Linked DNA regions of Neodiprion lecontei. The protein of the gene in region 1 interacts with the protein of each later gene in a biochemical or structural test. Links are inferred from orthologs where the notes say so. Each region holds a gene or a part of one and is shown in the gene's direction. Other genes may lie near its edges. The genes, in order: polyubiquitin-A, putative pre-mRNA-splicing factor ATP-dependent RNA helicase PRP1, peroxiredoxin-2 and ubiquitin carboxyl-terminal hydrolase 47.

Region 1 (5,035 bases):
GTTGTTTTCGACATTCTGCATAAGTAAATATTATCAGGTTGTTGTAAACTTGTCAACAACTTGTAGCGCTACACATGAAAATCGTATGTAACACATGCACATCGAACACATGTACAGTTAGTACAGTCATTTCCCTATTCCGATGCGTATACAGTCACCCCCCACTCCACGTGGCTCTCGCTTTCGACACCAGCAGCGCGAGCTTTTAGCAATTAATTATTTCGCAGAAATTTTCCTCTACTCTCGCCCCTCGGCAGGGCCATATATCTAACGTCCGTTGTATTGCGATGGGTAATTAATGGGCGCTTTCATAGTAATTTCCGCTGACGCATGTATTGATTACGACACATGAATCACAATTTCAGTTTGACACAGAAATGAGATGACTTGAAAAAATTATTTCGAATGTAATATGTAGGTCCTTCTTATTAATGCGATAAAGAAAGATCGTAAATGATATGAAATGAATCCTAGTCGACTTTGTCGTATCTCGTGTTATCACCTACTGAACGTGTTTTGGGATTTCATGTATTCTAAAACTCTTCTGCCAAGAGTGATTAATTAAGGTAAATTTGTATTTTCAAAGCTTTTTGCGAAAAAAACATAGTGTCGTAATTTTTTTTACCTGCGTATGCATCAATTTACGACGTGAAACCTCGGGGAGAAATAGCACGCTTACAGTAGACTGGGAGAAAAGCTCTAGTTTACTAATAATAACCATGCGAATGTAAACATTTCCGCGAATGTCTATTGCTCGACATTGGTCAACAAGATTGTAGGTCAACATTATTTGCGTCGTTGCCATGGTCGTAACCAAGTTTATAACACGGAATAAATAATGTTATCTATTTTTTCGAAAAGATGCTCGATGTAAAAATGACTCATGGATTGCATCGAAATGAACATGAAAAAAGGTTCGCGGTCTATGACACACAACACAATTTACATCGACACCTCGAATGTTGCGTCAGTTTCGATAAAATGTGACCAACCAAAAAACTCTCATCGATGCGAGAAATTTTTAATTGGTTACTATTCAATGCTTGTCGAATTTCTAGACTACAAACTTTGTCAGCATTTTTGGGGAACAGCATTATTGAATGCATCCGAGATAATATAAAGATCTTGTAACATATGCACATTGTAAATTTATAGGTGCTGCTAAATGAACCGCTTTACAATGTGTTATCATCTAAATGTATTATACTGTTGTACGGTAAATTATGCGCTCGTTTCATCAAAAACGTCAACGTTTGCGTTGAAAAATGAAGAACATTCTTTTGTTCAAACAAATGAACAGCAGCTGATAGTTTATGTGTTTCGGACATTTTTAACGTAACTATCCTTGAGTTTGTGCCTTATGGTGCCATCTGGTCTCCAGCAACGAAAGACCAATATCAAGAAAATGTAAAAAGAGTTTCGGTTACTCCGCTTATACTTTGTGAAATTCGCAGTGGTCAAACAAATATTTTAATCATAAAAACGAGCACGTTCCAGATACCGCATCAATTTAATGGTAGATAAGGTATTTTTACTCACAGTGAGCAAAGAATATTCTAGAGATCGCTTTGTTCCACAAACCAATGAGATTCGTCGACGTTAGTTCAAGGTACGTGACGCAGCTGAATTTCAGCCAATAGGAACGTCCGCGCAGGTTCGTTCGCACCAATCACGCGTTTCTTCTCCATTGGCTCGGGTGTCTATAAATGCCAGATGCAGGGTGGCCCAGATATTTAGTTACGAAGCTGACGCCGAGTTTGTACGAGCAGTCTATTCGAAGTCATTAATAGTGCAGTTTTTGCGTTGCATTTAATCGCGTTATTAATAAGTTTCACAACAGGTAAATATCAAATATCCGTTCAATTCCTTCCCCGAGTTTTTCTTTGGTGTGGAAAACTGTACTGCCTCCTTTGTTCACGGCTTTGTTTCACAACCGTCCTTTGTCGACATGTCGCCATTAGTTTTCCATCATTGATCAGAATCTGCAGGTCTCAAACCTAACGGTACTACTTCAACTCGTCACTATTATTACTGCGTTTAGTATTTCTTCACGGATTAAACTGATTTCCAAGTTTTTCCTATCAGCTCTCGAAAGTTTTAGATTTAATCGATTTTCGCCCTCAATTCCGTTGTTGCGCTGTCCGCCATTTTGTGAAAACTGCCAAACTTATTGATCCACGCCATCCACCCAGCACTCATCAATCAGACGACACCGTTCTTACATCGTGTTTTCGTCGTTTCAGATAAACATGCAGATTTTTGTCAAGACCTTGACGGGGAAGACCATCACCCTCGAAGTTGAAGCATCTGATACGATCGAAAATGTGAAGGCCAAGATTCAGGACAAAGAGGGAATTCCACCAGACCAGCAGAGATTGATCTTTGCAGGAAAACAGCTCGAAGATGGCCGCACCCTTTCCGATTATAACATCCAAAAGGAATCCACCCTCCATCTAGTCCTTCGTCTTCGCGGAGGTATGCAGATCTTCGTGAAGACCTTAACTGGCAAAACCATCACCCTTGAAGTTGAGGCTTCTGACACGATTGAAAATGTGAAAGCAAAGATCCAGGACAAAGAGGGAATCCCACCAGACCAGCAGAGATTAATCTTTGCCGGAAAACAGCTCGAGGATGGCCGCACTCTTTCCGATTATAACATCCAGAAGGAATCTACTCTTCATCTGGTCCTTCGTCTCCGCGGAGGTATGCAGATCTTCGTCAAGACCTTAACTGGCAAAACTATTACCCTTGAAGTAGAGGCTTCGGACACAATTGAAAACGTGAAGGCGAAAATTCAAGACAAGGAGGGAATCCCACCAGACCAGCAGAGGTTGATCTTTGCCGGCAAACAGCTTGAGGATGGCCGTACGCTTTCTGATTACAACATCCAGAAAGAATCAACTCTTCATCTTGTCCTTCGTCTCCGCGGAGGTATGCAAATCTTTGTCAAGACCCTAACTGGCAAAACCATCACGTTGGAAGTCGAGGCCTCCGACACTATTGAAAATGTAAAGGCAAAGATTCAAGACAAAGAGGGAATTCCTCCAGATCAGCAGCGTTTGATTTTCGCCGGCAAGCAGCTTGAAGACGGACGTACTTTGTCGGACTACAATATTCAAAAAGAATCCACCTTACATTTAGTTCTTCGACTGAGAGGTGGAATGCAAATTTTCGTTAAGACTCTCACTGGCAAAACCATCACGTTGGAAGTTGAGGCCTCCGACACTATTGAAAATGTAAAGGCGAAAATTCAAGACAAGGAGGGAATTCCTCCAGACCAGCAGCGTTTGATCTTTGCTGGCAAGCAGCTTGAAGACGGACGGACCTTATCAGACTACAATATCCAGAAAGAATCTACTCTTCACTTGGTTCTCCGACTACGTGGTGGGATGCAAATTTTTGTCAAAACATTAACTGGAAAGACAATCACTTTGGAGGTTGAGGCTTCGGACACTATTGAGAATGTGAAGGCTAAAATTCAGGACAAAGAGGGAATTCCTCCAGACCAGCAGCGTTTGATCTTTGCTGGAAAACAACTCGAAGATGGCCGCACTCTTTCGGACTACAACATCCAAAAAGAATCCACCCTGCACCTTGTCCTTCGGCTGCGAGGAGGGATGCAAATTTTTGTGAAGACTCTTACTGGCAAAACCATTACCTTGGAAGTCGAGGCCTCCGACACAATTGAGAACGTAAAAGCAAAAATCCAAGACAAAGAAGGCATTCCACCAGACCAACAGCGACTCATCTTTGCTGGAAAGCAGCTTGAAGATGGACGAACCTTGTCTGACTACAACATTCAAAAGGAATCAACCTTACATCTGGTTTTAAGGCTGCGTGGAGGTATGCAAATTTTTGTCAAAACTCTTACTGGAAAGACAATTACTTTGGAAGTCGAGGCATCTGATACAATAGAGAACGTGAAAGCAAAAATTCAAGACAAGGAGGGAATCCCACCAGACCAGCAGAGATTAATTTTTGCTGGAAAACAGCTGGAAGATGGGCGTACTCTTTCCGACTATAATATTCAAAAGGAGTCCACCCTTCATCTAGTTCTCCGACTACGTGGCGGTATGCAGATCTTTGTCAAAACCTTGACCGGCAAAACTATCACCTTGGAGGTTGAGGCGTCTGACACAATTGAAAATGTCAAGGCCAAAATCCAAGACAAAGAAGGAATTCCTCCAGACCAGCAGAGGTTAATATTCGCAGGGAAACAGCTGGAAGATGGGCGTACCCTTTCAGACTACAACATTCAGAAGGAGTCTACTCTTCATCTGGTTCTTCGGCTCCGTGGTGGATCTCTCTAAAGTCAAGCTGGAAAATTCCAATATCTGATCTCGCTGATATGATCTAAATGAAAAATTGATAGTATTGATAGCGTTATTGAATTTTTTTTACTTTACCCAATAATAGTGCTTTCACCAAAATGTGATAATATTGATTTATGCTTCAGCATCTAATAAAGAATTCAGTTTAAAATGTGACTATTATGCATTCATTCCTTCCCTACTGAACTCTTAATACTTACTGTTGTTTTCATTTCAGTATTTGGTTTCCTTTTTTTTATTGTATATAAACTGATTTTTATTTTTCGCTTATTCAATAAACTGAGTAATACATCAAGTACAGGTCGTTTGATTTACATGGTATTATTATTTATTATTGATGAGCATCAAGTTGATGACATGAAGCTACTCATTTTTAGGATTAAGATTGTCATTTACTACTTTGATTGACTGACATATTCATTAATTAATTCAAATATACTCATACTTTGGAAACTCAACTCTTGAAAACTCAGTGGAGAAATTGCAAAATATAGATTTCCGTTGACTTTATATTATCTCTAATCAACGATATAGGTTTCGACGAATGCTCATAACTTCGATAACTGCAACATCGGGAATATTGATTAGGGATTTCGGTGCTATTTTATTCCAACATCGAATAACAATTAAAACATGGTGTCAAATTTTTAAGCTCCAAATTTTATTTTTATACGAACTCGATCGATTGCCGCGTTTGAACCACA
Region 2 (7,648 bases), on another chromosome or scaffold:
GAATTATTATCTTCTGTCCTTTAGAGAACCGATTCGAATCCGTTGACGGGACGCTTAGCCCGTTGTTTATGCTTTATTTTATGTATCCCTATGGTCTCAACGGCCGGGTGAAAACACCACGTAAGCTACGCGCAACGCGATCAAAATATGTTTAGAGCTTTGCCGTAATATGCGACGTCAGGCGAAGTATGAATTCCCGGACCACTCATAACAGACATTTCTTGAACAAGATTTTGTCAAATTTTCAACTTCACTATGACGAAGGTATGTTACCAACGTTTTGCAGGCGATAGTGTAGGTTATGAGGCACTTCTTTCACCGGCGTGGTCAGTTGCTAATTGGTTGATAATACGGGAAACTGCTAATACTCTCAAACCGACCCGACCCGGCAAACTGTTACGCAAAATAACCACTGATATAGGTATTAATATATATCAGTGAAAATATCCCAGATTATCAGACTTTATACATTCTCAGTCGACGATACAAGTAAGGGGAAAATTCTGCGAAATACATTGCATTTAAGCCACGAAGCAGAATATGAGCAATGCTGTATGAGATAGTAATTAAGGTAGTTTGTGTACGCAATTTAAGTTCCAACCTGTGTGTAGGGGCAATGCACCTGTGCAGGATGCGAGATGTATGATATTGTATTGTTACTATTGCATGTAACTTAGAATAAAATGAATAATACCAAAATAAGTTTCATCATATTTTTCCGTATATTCTCAGCTTGTGTTGATCCTACGATGCTCCAATAAATACCTTTTTTGCATGCAGTCCTTGGGGTCCAATTAGTCCAGAAAGGGCTTTTGAACAGATTCTGATTGTAAGACGAAAATTTTCCGAGCTCTGAAAATCGCAAACAAGCAAGGCTATACCCTTTTGTATTTAGACGGTCGAAATTTGGCCTATTTTGAAAAATAGTTGCATGAATTCTTTGATGCACTATATCGACGTAATTTTGCGAGAGGAATAAATTGCGCGCAGTCAGAACACGCTATGAGCTACTTCATCTTGCTTCTTCATTTTCACCATTTTTTCACACTTGCAATTAGTAATCCTAGATTTCTTAAATCTGCGAATAGAAATGTTATTGAGGTCCGTTGACCTAATCACGTGGGTTTTGACGTGCGGCATTTTCAGGGGCAACTTTTCCTGCGACGTCGTAGTGCTATTCGCGTCAATTTGACACTCTGAAAATATAGCTTGACGCAGGCCTATGACGCCACAACTCTAGTTTAGGATGCGTTCCGAAATTAGCTGGCAGCGTTAACAAACTCCCTTTGACAGAGGCAAAGCCACCCACGAACTCAGCAGTGCAAAAGAGATAAAGGATCGTCGACAGCGCTGGGAGCTAGGAACGCACCCATAATGTAGCCTGTCGGCGTCAAGTACCTTAATTTTTTTGTTTACTTTTAAACATACTTTTCACCTATTGAATTATTAATAGCCAGTGTGTATATTGCACACACCACACACACACACGGGTATATATATATTTAATTTATATAGGTATATACCTACCAATTGGTGATACGGACAATTCGAATTAATTAGTTGGTCCACAGCCAGCTAGATCTAGGAGTATCGTCTTATCCGCGGACTTGCCGCAAAAACTGCCGAGAGATTTTTAATGATCAGTAAGGCACTGACTTCGGATGTCCGCTGGTTTTGCCATTTTGTGACGCTGCTTTGCGTGTACATACATAAATAATTTGTAAACAGTATACTCGTTTAAATTAGACATTTAAATAAAGATCACACGATGTCTAAGCGGAGGATTGAAGTGGTGGATCCATATATCAAACGAAAGAAGTAAGTAACTAGCACATCTATCACCTCGGTTAAACAACTGGAAGACTAAATCTTGCCATGTGCATTGTTAAAATTCCATCGCGATCCTTCTCATTACCAAAATCTAATTTTACATCTATTCACATATATACACATATTTTTGCCTCAACTTTTTCACCCATCATTCTGAATATTTTTAACTGTATTCCACGATATCTTTAGTTCCATTCGAACTTCTATATTAGCAAGTAATGTTTTATATACATACAGTACATACATACCTGTAAGAACTACAGCAAAGGTGCTCAACTTGGATTTGATGTAATTTATTTAAAACTATGTATGCTTATTATTCACAATAAATTCACTCATTGTTCATCTTGATGCTTTACTGGTAACTCCTAACCTTAAATTGTTTCAGTTATAAAACAACGTGACAGTGATTGTTAAAATAAATGTTGTCTTACTTCTTAACAGAGATGGAACAGTCGCCAATAACATGCCAACTTCAACGGCGGCCAAAAATCAAGTTCAGCATAACCCATATACCGGTCTTCCATATACGCCACGTTATCATGAATTTTATAAGAAGAGAATAACTCTTCCAGTATTCGAGTATAGAACAGACTTCATGAGGCTCTTAGCGCTGCATCAATGCATTGTCTTAGTTGGTGAAACTGGATCTGGTAAAACTACTCAGATACCGCAATGGTGTGTCGAATACTCAAGATCTATGGGTCCGAAAGCTGTGGCTTGTACTCAGCCGAGAAGAGTAGCTGCCATGTCAGTTGCCCAGAGGGTGTCAGAAGAAATGGATGTCGCTTTGGGTACACAGATTAAAATTAATATGATTATTATTGATGAAATCAGTCACACAACATATTTTTATGCGTCGAATTATGCCTCATTATTGCAATCGAATCACAAAATTTAATAATAATTCAAGGACTATCATACAAATATTCACGCAATTGTTTCTAATATGGCCAAGTTGATGTTAAAGATAATACCGTGCTTCTTGGTAAAAGTGAAAGGTTATTTTTTCATAGGACTAGATAAACATGCGAAAAAGTACCATCGTGTCCTTCTTGACAATTTTATTCAATATCGCAACAAGTGTTATTAAAGCATGAAATACATGCCTGTATATGGCCCCATGGACTAAGGGAAGGCTTAAACAAAGTCAACATCAATCCATAATTTTCAATACACTTAGAAGATCACTTTTAGAGCATTATCTCAGTTCTGTCCTGATCCAAAATTGTAGTACCCTTTTCCATAAGAGCCAAATTTTCCGGGCCAGACAAATAGTACCGGGGCTGCAAAATGAAAAAGTGAAATGGGCAAAATTTATAAATTGAATCATCGAGTGCTATACTTTATTCAAATAATTTCGTTACCTTTTTGCAGGTCAAGAGGTAGGCTACAGCATCCGTTTTGAGGACTGCAGCTCTGCAAATACTGTGCTTAAGTACATGACGGATGGTATGCTGCTTCGAGAAGGGATGTCTGACCCCATGCTCGAAGCGTATCAAGTAATCTTATTAGATGAGGCTCATGAAAGAACACTGGCGACAGATTTATTGATGGGAGTTTTAAAAGAAGTTGTGAAACAGCGTCCAGATCTGAAACTGGTTATAATGAGTGCGACTCTAGACGCAGGAAAATTTCAACAGTACTTTGATAATGCACCATTGATGAACGTTCCTGGTCGAACGCATCCTGTAGAGATATTTTACACACCAGAACCAGAAAGGGATTATTTGGAGGCTGCAATTAGAACAGTAATACAGATTCACATGTGCGAAGAAGTGGCTGGCGACCTTCTCTTATTTTTGACTGGACAGGAGGAGATCGAGGAAGCTTGTAAGAGAATCAAGAGAGAAATGGACAATCTAGGACCTGAAGTTGGAGAGCTGAAATGCATCCCTTTATATTCTACACTTCCACCGAATCTTCAGCAAAGAATATTCGAACCCGCTCCACCTACTAAACCCAACGGAGCTATTGGAAGAAAAGTTGTAGTGTCCACAAATATTGCAGAAACTTCATTGACCATTGATGGTGTTGTTTTTGTCATTGATCCAGGGTTTGCGAAGCAAAAGGTAGTTATTTCGTCACCCACAGAAATTACAATGTTGATATGTATTGAAAAATGACAAGCTAAATCCGAATATTCTAACGAAAATGGTATCACTTACCACAGGTCTATAATCCGAGAATTCGCGTAGAATCTTTGTTGGTATCGCCAATCAGTAAAGCATCTGCGCAACAGCGAGCTGGTAGAGCAGGTCGAACTCGTCCAGGGAAATGTTTTCGGCTTTATACAGAAAGAGCATACAAAAATGAGATGCAGGACAACACGTATCCAGAAATTCTTCGTTCAAATCTCGGCAGTGTTGTTTTGCAATTGAAAAAGCTTGGAATTGATGATCTGGTAAGTAGTGCGATTCTTTTACTGTTAATAAAATGAAATGAACAATTATTTGAATCAAAATTTGAATTTTACAGGTTCATTTTGACTTCATGGATCCTCCAGCGCCTGAAACACTTATGAGAGCACTGGAGCTGCTCAACTACTTGGCGGCGCTTGATGACGACGGAAATTTAACAGACCTAGGTGCAGTTATGGCTGAATTTCCGCTCGACCCTCAGCTGGCAAAAATGTTAATAGCTTCATGTAACCATAACTGCAGTAATGAAATACTCAGCATCACCGCGATGCTTTCAGGTACTGTATTGGGGTTTGTTGATTCCATTTTAATTTTAGATTCACATAATTTTCTAACATCTCTCTTATTTAGCTTAACGTCAGCTCCAAAGTTCAGAAAATAAGAAATTCCCCATAGTCGAGGATGTTGTTCAGACATTTTCATGTGTCTTCCTTATTTAAAGCGCTAAATCAGTTATAGTCTATAGTAAGAAAATATAAAATGTATTGAAAGCTGGCAATTTACAGTAGATTCAAGTTAGGATGGTGGTGAGGTAACATGGTTATGTATTGACAATTGACATGGTATTAGTCCCACAGTGTTTTGTGAGACCAAACGAGGCTAAGAAAGCTGCAGATGACTCAAAAATGCGGTTCGCGCATATCGATGGCGATCATCTGACTCTTCTTAATGTATATCATGCCTTTAAACAGAGTAAGTAAAAAAATTAATGTCATTTACGAGGACAAGTGTGCTACAGTACAATATTCAACAATTCTAAAATCAATTGCAGCCTTTTCTCATAGTGTAAATCTATGACGTGATTGAGTGTTTAAAGCTTTTGTTACTAATTGAATGACTTTTCAAAATTGATGATTCATTCCTCATCTCTGTGTTTGTGTAATTTCTTGGCACTCGCATAAAATATGGCTGTGATTTTTCAATTATGGTTTTTCTGAAACATAAAAAATTTGAACTATGAGTGTTAACACAGAAATTTAATAATTTTCAGATATGGAAGATCCGCAATGGTGTTATGAGCATTTTGTGAACTATCGATCACTTAAGAGTGGAGATAACGTTAGACAGCAATTAAGTAGGATCATGGACAGGTTCAGTTTAAAACGTACGTCAACCGATTTCACGTCCAAAGACTATTACATAAACATCAGAAAAGCATTGGTCAACGGATTCTTCATGCAGGTAAGAAATCGAAAACATTTGTAAGAGTATTACTCTACTTGTGTTGATGCGTCTCTTTTTAATATATGAATGAAAAATTGTTCAGACAAGAAGCTTGATTCTAGCTTCCCACTGATTTGGTCTTATGAGAGTAAATCACTTTTAAGCGGAAAATGACAAAGATTAATGAATAATAATGAATTGTGATCTTTTTTTTTATACCAGGTTGCACATTTAGAAAGGACGGGACACTATCTTACAATAAAAGACAATCAGGTTGTGCAATTACATCCGAGCAGTTGCCTTGACCATAAACCTGAGTGGGTAATCTACAACGAATTCGTGCTTACGACAAAAAATTACATCAGGACAGTAACAGACATAAAACGTGAGTACCATTGTAAAAAACTTTCTTTTTTTTTTCTTCAATGAAATAGAAAAAAACCGAAACACCGAATATTCTAACAATGTATGCATATTCATTTCAGCCGATTGGTTACTTAAAATCGCACCCCAATACTACGATTTGCAGAACTTCCCTCAATGCGAAGCTAAAAGACAGCTTGAAGGTATTCAAACGCGACTAGATTCGAAACAGTATCAAGAAGGCTTCTAACGTTGTTCGCTTTTAGCCACGTTACCAATCACTAACAACGGCTGTGACCAGCCCAGTCCTTCGAGCATGTAAACTCTTTTTTTTTATTCATTAAAAAAAAACCGAAATAGAGGTAAAGCAATTTTTCAAACGATCTTAGGCCAAGTTCATCTCCTGTTACAACATAAACGTTATTCTCATAATTGGCAATGATATTCATGCTGAAGGACTTATAAACTCGATGTTTATCCTATTGCTCAGGATAAATCGTCAGGATACTTAAATCCATCAACCGCTGGATGTTACATCCAACCCTAAGTACCAGTGGGCTTAATTTATACAATTTCAAAAAAGCGTAGCTGTTTGATAGTTTTAAAAGGAAAATACAATTACAAACAGAAGAGAAATTGTTGATAGGGTCGTTCATAATGTATGTAGCCAAAGTTGATATACCTTACCGACACACACCACTGCACTATAAATAATAACTTACTATCTATCAGTTCGGATATTTAACGAAACAAATGTTATTGTTAGTTACTTTTCTTGTCACTATCCCCTTTGAAACGCAAAATCAAGTTGTCGACTGTACCCAAAAAGTGAGTACGTGATCACATCGACCAATTTTGTGATCCATTTATTATAGGATACCTCACCACCCTTTGTGTATACTGTTTTATACCTACCCAAATTGAAGTAACGAATAAATTTTATTGAATTACTATTTAGCTCACTATTCCACTTGAAAAATTGCTACACGTTGGTGACTGTTCGTCATAACACATTTATAATAATAATGGCTGTGGTCTGTATTGAAGTTTCCGTTGTTTCGCTCTGTATTACTGACAGAAGCACAGGAAAATTTTCAGAGAACAAAAAAATTAATAAAACACAAGGAACGGAAATATTGTGTCAAGTTATTCGTTCAATGTTGATTAATGATTGTTGATGTAATAGAGATTTCATTTCTTAAAAATAAGTTAAAAACTACTTTGAAATTTGGAAAAAAAAAACTAACACCAGGAGTGCAGACTGTTTTTTCGTTGAAACGTGACTTCACGTTAGGATAGAAAAAGCTTTAGCTGACACAGTTTAGCGCGTATGTGTATAATTGATCATAATGAGTTACTTTTCAATTCAATTACTTACCTATGTACATCAACGTATATTACCGTAATACCACGAGTCTACACCCCGTTCGAATTTGTATAAGTAATTATTTTAACCGCTTGGGAACGGTGATTAGAGTTTATTGAGTATTTTCAATGCACTCGTACACCTTTCCATGGATAGGGTACATTCGCATTGTTAAGATCGATATTTTCTCTTTTACGCAATAAAAAAAAAAAAGAAACTACTAACCACCATGAGTTGAAAAAATACATTATTACGGTAATGTAACTAATGATGTTTTACGTGTTTGACGCCAGATGATGGGTCGCTTTTTTCAAATTTTGTACATATAATAGCGTTTCATTATGCTGTATCACTTCATTCCAATAAAACGAAGTATACCTGTAACATTTATGCATTTTTATCATTCTTATTTCAATTTCATGGTTTTTACTTGTGCACGTTTTAATGATGTTCAACTAAGTCGTGCTCAAAGGATGATGAGGTTTTAAAACTCGTCAGCAAATAG
Region 3 (4,229 bases), on another chromosome or scaffold:
ACAGATTTCTCAGGGGAATATATCATCTTACTCACTGCAAAGAATACCAGCTTCGTGATCGTGTCCACATGTGTGACAAGTCAAAATGTTTGTTTTCGGTGACAACAATTTCGAAATATACTTAGGGTTTCCAAAGCGTCGTTTCCATCTTTTTTCAATTGTTCGCTTATGTGTGGGAACACCCCACAGAAAACCATTATCAATAATATTCTCTATGGAAAATGGACTTCTTCGAGGGATCGGCTGCGGCCAATTTTGCCCCTCATTCAATTCGACGACACATAACGCTTCTGAAATTATTAATGATCTATTGGTACAGACAATACAATCGACTCCGAGCTATTTTGAATTATGATAGTCAGACCTCCATGCACACCAAAATCATACATAATCTGTTATTTACAAATTGACTGATTATACTTTTCATGGAGTGAAACCCATGACAATCATCTCGGACATGTAGCCAACAAACGCACGTCACTAACAGCTTATTTATTTACAGGCATTCATTCATTCGGATATTTTGTCCGAGATTTTGTCACCGGCTGAACGCTCCGATATAGTTTCACGTGAAATAGAGCTTCCAGGTTAAGACGGGCAAAAAGTGAGGTTGGAATATCGGTATTTTCATTGTTAGGCCTCGACACGACCCTCCTAACTTTGAGAAAAAGGATAATAGTAACTTCCGTACCTGGAGGAAATCTCCGACTCAGAATATTCACAATTATGTTATCAAATCTCTGTAAAGCAATCTGAACGCGATTTACCAGGCCGGACGCCATGTTTCTAGTCGCAAGTATTACTTCGTGATTCCGATATTCGATACTCGACACGAACAAAACAACCCAGATCGATCAGCTGGACTCGATATTCGAGCTATTATATTTTCGCGTCAAATGTGAGATCATAAACGAATAACGATTGTTATATTGAAAATACGCACGACACTTTGAGCTCTGGAATGAATCGCATAATACGTTAGAAGTTACTTATGACCCAATGGAGGCGACGATTAATCACAAACGATTTTTTCCTACCCGTCGTTAATGCAGCGGATCAAAAAACCAGCAATAACCTAACCGCGTTATAATGAGTGGCGTTTTGCAGGAGACTTGGACAATATTATTCTGCGTCGGAATCGTCGTATTGAACATGTACTACCACGTTTATTATTCAGATCCCAGTTTATTCGGAAATGCTTTGTACGTTCCGCATACTGCCGCGCTCACGGCGTCCGCAGGGATCGTCCTCAATGACAATGCAAGTAAATATAACGATGTTTCGATTGGAACACATTGATTTTTGATATTCTGCAGACCTTGCTCGACAGCCTGAAATAGGAACCACGAGACAAGAATATATACATGCAGTGTATTTTTAATAACAAAGACATGAGTAATGAGGGGAAAACTAATTGTGAAGATTTTCATGGATTTCCACACCTCAAAATGAACCCTAAACAATCTCGCACGTGATTAGTTGACGATCTAAGACGGCCTTATGTTCCAGGCACGCGATTGGTTCTTAGAGATGCCTGAGCAAGAGCATTACTCGTGTCAGGAACGCACCCTAATCATGTTGTATCGTGAATCCACATAAGAGAAATGCATGCGCGCGATTTCAGTATAATCGCGTACCAAATTCAAATATAGGAAGTATTTCAAAATCTAATAACGAACATTCTTGTGACGCTGAAAGCCGCAGTTTGAATTACACAGAATTGGATAGATCAATTTGTTACAGTAATCCTCAGATAACTTGGGAGTAACGGGTATTATCGATACTGAACTGTTGTCATTATTCAGTGACCACCAATCGGGTTTCTCCCTTCGTCGTGCGTAGGATGCATGCTTCCAATCTTCAATGCGTCACATGGAAAGCGGGCTTACGACTTTGGATTCGCGTATTCCTTTTTTGTTGATTCGTAGGTCAAGCGCGAAGCGGCGGACGGCGACGCCGGGGCGCTGTTTTTTTTCGAAGCGGGTTTTAAGAAACAAGTAAGATTAAAAAAGTGGGCGTATAGATTAGAACGAGAGAATAAAGTGGAGCGTTGTAACAAGTGCGTACGTGCAGAATCGTTCGAAGATGCGGCTACTGATTATTCTCGTTACAATCGCATTTTCGTGCTTTGTTACGAAAAGTGAGGGCTTATTCGGTGAGGATGAAGCGTGTTACTCGTTCGCTGGTGGCACCGTATATCCAACCGGTACCAAACACGCGGGTCACCAGTTGCAGACAACTCAAGCAGTCAGTGAGTTGAGCGAAATATTTTTATTTGTTGGGGCCGAAAATTCATTAGCGAATTTATCTTCATGTCTTTCCTAAAACTGGCGAGAATAATGCGATGAGAAATCAAGGAAATGTCACGACATTGAATACTTGATAGTTATTGATATCAGCAAAAAAGTACAGTTATCTTCTTTACGAGAATTCAATCTCGTTTTCCTCAATTCATCTCAATATGGGACTTTTGAATACCAACCATTTGAAATTGTAATTTATTACACCTTATTGACAATATTAACAGCAGGTGTATTAAATTCGTATCATCATCTTATCTAATCTCTGATTAGGTGGTGGGATTAGCACTGATTCCAATACATATTGACCTGTTTCTTGTAAAAAAAAAATCTAAATTAACCATGCGTACCGTTTGTTTCAGTTGGAAAACAAGCACCGTTCTGGGAAGGTACGGCTGTTCTTGGAGGCGAATTTAAAGAAATTAAGCTCACGGATTACAAGGGAAAATATTTAGTATTTTTTTTTTATCCGTTGGATTTGTAAGTTCACAGTCTCTGGAATGGGAATGAAATTTTTTTTTTTAAATTTACCGACATTTATTTAGATTTTCTGAATTTTCAGCACCTTTGTTTGCCCCACGGAAATTCTTGCTTTTTCGGATCGATTAAATGAATTTAAGAAATTGAACACTGAGGTCATTGCTGCATCTGTTGACTCACAGTTCACTCACCTCGCCTGGATAAACACGCCTAGAAAGGAAGGAGGTCTTGAAAATATTAAAATTCCCTTGCTTTCCGATCTCACTCATAAGATATCAAAGGATTATGGAGTTTACTTGGAAGATCTTGGACATACTTTGAGGTAACGTGATCACACATTTGAGGCTTTACTTCGCAACCTGTAAAGGTAGTTTGACTTATTTATTTATTTTTTTTTCATGTTTGTTTTTATGTTTCATATAAAAATGCAAATGACGTATCGCCAAATATTTTTTCATTCTATTTACAGAGCTCTTTTCATCATCGATGGTAAAGGAGTACTGCGCCAAATTACAATGAATGATCTCCCTGTCGGACGATCAGTCGATGAAACTTTGAGGCTCGTACAAGCATTCCAATATACAGATGAACACGGTGAAGTTTGCCCGGCTGGCTGGAAACCAGGACAAGACACGGTAAGTATCAGAATATTGAGGCAATTTGGTACCTGCAGTACTGTATTTGTTAATTTTTACACACGTAAGTAACGACTCTTATTAACGAACATGATTTTTGTATTTCAGATCATTCCGAATCCGGTGGATAAGAAGAAATTCTTTGCGAAAAATCTCAACTGATTAATTATCATGCTGATTATATTGCATATTTTTTCATAATTTCAAGAAATAAAAAAATCTACCCTTGATTAACTACATTTGTAACAACGAAATCTTTTACTTGCTCAAAATTAGCATAATAAACTATTTGGATTGAAGTTTTTTAATGACGTACTGAAGATTCACGACACTGTCGTTGATTGGATGTTGTTCTTGAAAGATACGTGTGTATATATTACCTAAATTTAACGGTCAATTCTTCTTCCCACTTCTCGGACTGGAGAGTGTGATAAGCTGTACCCTACGCGGAGTTTTAGCTGCTATCACATTAGGAACTATTGGTTTTGGAGGTGTTTTTTTAACAATGTCACTTATATTTTCTGTGTTACTTTCTTCTGTGTAAACAAGTTTTATATCTTCCGTCTCTTCAAGAACTACGTCATCAACATCTGTCGACTTTGTATTTTGGACGTTTTTCACAAGTTTATCATCTTTATTACCATTATTCGCCTCTTCGCTAAAGTCAGATGCTTTCACAGGTTTCGTAATGTCAATATCCATTGCGTCACTGCACATATCAATAATGAATTCAGTCTTCTCGGCATTATTAGTCTTACGCTTTGATTTGGATGAATTTGAATGCACAGATTTCGTTTCTGTCGTGTCATTTATG
Region 4 (5,027 bases), on another chromosome or scaffold:
GGGCTATAATTATCTGGACCTTGAATCAATGTCAAATATTTCATATGACTTTGAGATGTCAAAGGAAACATGACTTGATACTATGATGAAACAATATGTAAGTGCTTACTGCACCTTTGAATATTACTAAATAACTCACCAATTTCGAGAAGCTCTTCGTTATTGTTGTTTGCTTGTGGTTTTTGGAAAATTGGTACATTCTCTTCCCCTTGTACAGATCGAAAGGTTATTGGTTCACTATGCTCAATAACCTGAGCTTCTTGGTCTGTCTCTGGTTCTGATATGTGTACCACTTCCCGTATAGGAGTGTTGACACGATTATCAGGAGCCAGGATTACTGGCTCATCTGCTTCTTGAACCTCCATCTCTTCTTCATCTAACATAATCAATATTCAATTAATAATAAGAATTGGATTATAAGTGTACATCAAGCTCGATGTTGAATGATAGCTGCGTGCAAGTGTTTCCTCAAAATCTTTGCCATTTTTTGATCAACTGTGTCTGTGAATAGTAATTTAATCGATGGTTAATCGTTTGCTGACAAGACAGGGTGAAACAAATTAAAGCATATAAATGAGGCAGAAAACAGTATCAGATGTGGGGTAAACGGTTAACGGTAAATTTAAAGGGCTTATTCCTTGGAAACGGAAAGAGAAAGATAAAAATCAACTCACTGTTTTCCATTTTTAACGAAGTCGGACAGGTTATACATTTAGAAGAAGAGATGAAGGTGCAATGCGGGATTAGCAATGGTTGAAACTTGAAATTAACAACAAAAAAGCGGTGATCATAGTAGGTAATTGGAAAAATATCACGTTTATACTTTTTTACCGAACCATCGATGTTGCCAAAGGACTTATGACTTGGTTTCACTCCTTTGGAGTGCTCACTTATTTACGCTCCGTTCTGTTAGGGTCGGTGTCCTAGTGAGAACAAACGGGAAATCGGAAATCTTCTCAATCTGCTTAATCTCATCGGTAAACAGTCAACGCGTCTTTCAACATCAATCGGTATTTGGCTAACAGCCTGTGTTAATTAAATATCCTTGAGTGTCAGCAACCGATGGCGGTTAATGGCGGTCGAATCTGCCTCCAATAATTGTAGGTAGAGTATCGCGATGACCCACGTTGATTGGCCACTCATTGAATCTACTTCGAATATTGGCGCTAATTTTTGACAACCTTAAATTTTAGGACTTTCAGAATTTTACAGTTTGCATCTTGCAACTTTTAATCAATAATATTCTTTTTCACAACTTTACACTTTGTTCGAACGTTGTAAGGGAAAACTTGCGGGATATGAATAATCGTTAGAAGATCGTCTCGTTAGAATGTTACAACACCAGAATGCAGGGTTCTTTCCCTTTTTATTGAGTTGTACGCTCGCAACTATGCTGCAAAGAAGTGTTTTTACATAAACTTTGCATCGCTTGCAAATATATTCTTAAGTCAACACCATGATCCTTGCTATTTTTAATTTTCTTCTATAAATGTACGCTTTGCATGGCTTTCGACTTTTTCCTATCGAGCTCTCTGGGAATCGTATGTTTTGCGAAGTCATAATAAGCCACAATTGATTGTAATAAAATATAGTTGGTAAATTATTTGTGAACAGAACGAACTTTTGAATTACCCAAGGCTGGCTCATTTGTGCTTAGACGATTACTGAAAACTGGGTTTTGTGTCTTTCGGGATTGCGTGCTAAATGGCTCTCGCCGATGAAAAAGCTACCGTATCACCAACACGGTTTCTTATGGCCCCGGGCCTACCCAGGGCCCACTGAGACCCACTTACCCGCGGACTGGTTACGCAAAGTTATTTGTCACATGGATTCTTTGGAAATTCTGCGATTTTGCAATATCTGCGAATCATTTAAGAGGTTCCCGCAATGCATTTTTAACAAATTCAAAGATCGCCGGCTAACTTCACATAGTATCTTGCCGAACTTCAAAAAGCGTGACTCTAAGCGGTTATCTCAACAATTTGTAGTCAATGCTTGTTCCGTGGTAGCTTGATCCAAGCTAGGTCCACGGACTTGCTAGGCCATGAAAAGAAAAAATTAAATTAAAAAAAAAGAAATATGGCGTAACGTGATTGCTACACATGTGTCAGTGAATTCGGTAAGTGATTTTTTGACGATAGTTTATACTCGGTGCAAGCGTAAAAACGTATTCCTCGCAATAGGACTCACTGCGCAATTATTTTTACCGAGTATAAAGATTTTCTCATTTTAAATAGTTACATAACTTCACGGTAAAATCATGTTCAGGACGCATATTTCTGACGTCGGTTGTTCAGCCATTTGAGAGAAACTTTGTAATAAACATTTTCTCGTTACTCTATTACCTCCTTTTCTTTTTTCTCAAATTCTTTTCATTTCATTTTCAAACTCACCTTGCTGTACGAATACGTAATCTTTTTTTCACAACATCTGCCTAATTACGTAAGACTAGTTATACGGAATTTGATTTGAAGGAATATAAATACCGGCGTCTTCACAACGTCGAATCTACTTTTGCTCACTTGTTCTACTGGCACGCAATCTCCCCGATCTTACGCCTTCAGATTTCCTTCATTATTTTTAATATTTATTTATTCACTTAACGTAAAAATAAATTAGCAGCCCCTACTTGCCAACTACCATGACGTATATATCTACATACATTCGACGTAACCTTGTTGGTTTTTTCTTTTTTCTCTTCCTACAGATCTCAAGCAGCTTCAGCGCATTACCAAAGGTTGAAATCGATTCAAATATTTTCACTATCACCAAGAGAGAAAGGAAAGACTAGGTGAGATTTGCCTTCTTTGAAACCTTTTCAGTAAAACTAAGCACTGTAAAGCATGTTCACTCTCCTCCATAACCTGTTAACAATGTGACGAGATTCTTTTGTTGCCGTCGATCGAGACAGGAGATTCGAATAGCCATCGAAAGGTATCCAATTGCGATGATTGTCCCTAGATTTCAGAGTTGAGTGTTGGAAGTAAGAGACCTAGAAATTTTGCTTTTTCATAATCATTTAATGTCCTGTGCATTTATTTGATGGTTACTATTTGGCTATTTATTTGGTGGTATGTAATTCAAGATTAGATTTTTGAGTGATTAAACATTGAAGTATGTATTTTTGTACTTGTTTTCTATATTTCGTTTGCTTGTTATCACCTATTTTTGTGTACCTAATGATTCAATAGTACGAATTTATTGTAGATACCTATATGACGTATTTATTACATCACAAGGATGACCGTGGATTTTGATGTAAGTAGTAATTAACTACGGGATATTTGAAAATCTTGTCACATCGTCCATACTTATTTACATGTCGTAAAAGAAAAAGAAATGAAAATTTCATTTACACTATTGACCAGTTGCTCAAGACTTCCACTAAATCCACTGAAATTCAGTTTAAGAGAAAATATAACCACTTGATACTGTTTTTCAAACATTATTTACATAAATTTAGATTTCAACAAGCTTCTACAGATGATTTCGCATTACAAAATTGAGAAAGCAGATATTATTTCCTGTTTTTATACTGAGAAAAGAGTCAAGAAAACATTATTAACAAAAACGTATATTAAGAGGGTTTGAAAACCTTGAAAACAGAAATTTATCAAGTAATTTTACAATTTGTGCAAAATTTTTTTATGTAACAGGAGGATTTAATTTTTGTGACGGAGTGTTGGCAAAGTCTGGAAATCGGTGCCTTGAGTTTTGTGGCCATCCTTGTAGCGTATCTGCATGAAAATAGTTATATGCTTATGCCTCTGTTACACTTTTTCTACGACAATGTAGCAATTTAACTATTCTAAAATGCTAGTACTTGATTTTTCAGTTTCTATGTCATCACTTGTTGTTAGGAAAACTTACGGCGAAATGAACTAATCTCCCTTCAGCAAATTATAGTACGGGTCTCTTATTCAGAGTACTTTACTAGAAAGAAAAGTTAACAGTTTAGAAAAGTTGCTTGTTTATAAAACACTTCCATCAGAAGTTTGAATATGCAAAGGAATGAGATAATTTCAATGAATCAATACAGATATGTAAGATATGAATTTTCAAAATATTGAAATTCGATCTTATCAAAACTCTTCGGTATTTTATCTATCACTAACCGACGTACATTATCAGATTCTCATGTTTACAGTAAGTGTATTCAGATAATGCCGATAATCAGTTAATCCATGAATTTGAGCCCAACCGGCTCAATGATTTTCAAGATATCGAATTCCGAGTTCGGAAATGCAGATCCGACTCCACTAGTAGCAGACATAGTTTATTAAATTGATTTTCACTGTAGTATTTTTCACAATTTGACCATCCTTGTAATTAATCAGTAATGTGTCTGTGTTCATCGGTTGTGATTTTGAACCTATAGCATATGAAGAAAAAAAACAGATTTCACTGTATCCAGGGCTGATAACTTCTGTAACAGAATTTCGCACCATCCTGTTGTCTTTAAAAAAATTGCAAATATCAGGTACTGACATGCATGCACAGGTTTTATTCTTCTTCATTTCCACCGATAATATTCCTTTTCCATCCGATTTATTGATTTTAATGAAAATATTTGATGCAAAATGAACAAAGACTCGTCACAGGTTTTGCGAATCAGTTTGCCCTCATATTCCCAGATAATTATCTCGTCAATATGTATGTACAGAAATATATATATTAGCCGAGATAAATATACATAGTGCGGAAAGTTTGGGGTGACGATGAGGACGATTACACAACTCGAAAAACAACTATCCAACAACAGTGTAAGAGAGGCTTAGGTATTAGTGTGCTTGTGAAGGCGAGTAAAAGCAATGCGCAGTGTAAATATGTGAAGGGGAGGTGGTACTGATCTCAGAGAAGAGAGCCATTTTCAAACTCTTGGTTTAGATCAGCTAAATATAGCTGCAGGGTGTATAGGCTCCTGTAGTCTACCTTGCTCTGCAGAGCAGCGATATCCCACTCCATCACACAGATCTCGCTGATTTTCTACCTTCACCATGGCGAGCTGCCAAATTTTGTCTGCCTGA

Evidence for each region.
Region 2: the proteins of polyubiquitin-A (region 1) and putative pre-mRNA-splicing factor ATP-dependent RNA helicase PRP1 form a complex in vitro, tested with the Homo sapiens proteins (2 studies listed by BioGRID). The link is inferred for Neodiprion lecontei from reciprocal best matches to the Homo sapiens genes UBC and DHX15.
Region 3: the proteins of polyubiquitin-A (region 1) and peroxiredoxin-2 form a complex in vitro, tested with the Homo sapiens proteins (2 studies listed by BioGRID). The link is inferred for Neodiprion lecontei from reciprocal best matches to the Homo sapiens genes UBC and PRDX4.
Region 4: the proteins of polyubiquitin-A (region 1) and ubiquitin carboxyl-terminal hydrolase 47 form a complex in vitro, tested with the Homo sapiens proteins (2 studies listed by BioGRID, with this or other methods). The link is inferred for Neodiprion lecontei from reciprocal best matches to the Homo sapiens genes UBC and USP47.

The regions. Positions count from the first base shown.
Region 1 is NC_060262.1:18,755,724-18,760,758, forward strand, and holds polyubiquitin-A, read left to right. Parts: upstream 1-1,684; 5' UTR 1,685-1,840; intron 1,841-2,243; 5' UTR 2,244-2,249; coding exon 2,250-4,310; 3' UTR 4,311-4,487; downstream 4,488-5,035.
Region 2 is NC_060264.1:26,638,464-26,646,111, forward strand, and holds the start of putative pre-mRNA-splicing factor ATP-dependent RNA helicase PRP1, read left to right. Parts: upstream 1-1,637; 5' UTR 1,638-1,768; coding exon 1,769-1,818; intron 1,819-1,988; exon of another isoform or gene 1,989-2,118; intron 2,119-2,274; coding exon 2,275-2,624; intron 2,625-3,207; coding exon 3,208-3,902; intron 3,903-4,003; coding exon 4,004-4,234; intron 4,235-4,308; coding exon 4,309-4,528; intron 4,529-4,820; coding exon 4,821-4,943; intron 4,944-5,241; coding exon 5,242-5,432; intron 5,433-5,636; coding exon 5,637-5,799; intron 5,800-5,899; coding exon 5,900-6,027; 3' UTR 6,028-7,648.
Region 3 is NC_060260.1:4,635,741-4,639,969, forward strand, and holds peroxiredoxin-2, read left to right. Parts: upstream 1-1,917; 5' UTR 1,918-2,085; coding exon 2,086-2,251; intron 2,252-2,662; coding exon 2,663-2,780; intron 2,781-2,862; coding exon 2,863-3,102; exon of another isoform or gene 3,103-3,249; coding exon 3,250-3,415; intron 3,416-3,523; coding exon 3,524-3,577; 3' UTR 3,578-3,714; downstream 3,715-4,229. Other genes in the region: 39S ribosomal protein L32, mitochondrial, read right to left, coding at 36-290, 692-782; chromatin assembly factor 1 subunit B, read right to left, coding at 3,809-4,229. UniProt on the Homo sapiens protein: Thiol-specific peroxidase that catalyzes the reduction of hydrogen peroxide and organic hydroperoxides to water and alcohols, respectively.
Region 4 is NC_060261.1:10,713,446-10,718,472, reverse strand, and holds the start of ubiquitin carboxyl-terminal hydrolase 47, read left to right. Parts: upstream 1-2,005; 5' UTR 2,006-2,119; intron 2,120-2,296; exon of another isoform or gene 2,297-2,315; intron 2,316-2,393; exon of another isoform or gene 2,394-2,528; intron 2,529-2,707; 5' UTR 2,708-2,791; intron 2,792-3,207; 5' UTR 3,208-3,240; coding exon 3,241-3,258; intron 3,259-4,915; exon of another isoform or gene 4,916-5,027. Other genes in the region: E3 ubiquitin-protein ligase RFWD3, read right to left, coding at 140-376, 675-684. UniProt on the Homo sapiens protein: Ubiquitin-specific protease that specifically deubiquitinates monoubiquitinated DNA polymerase beta (POLB), stabilizing POLB thereby playing a role in base-excision repair (BER). Acts as a regulator of cell growth and genome integrity.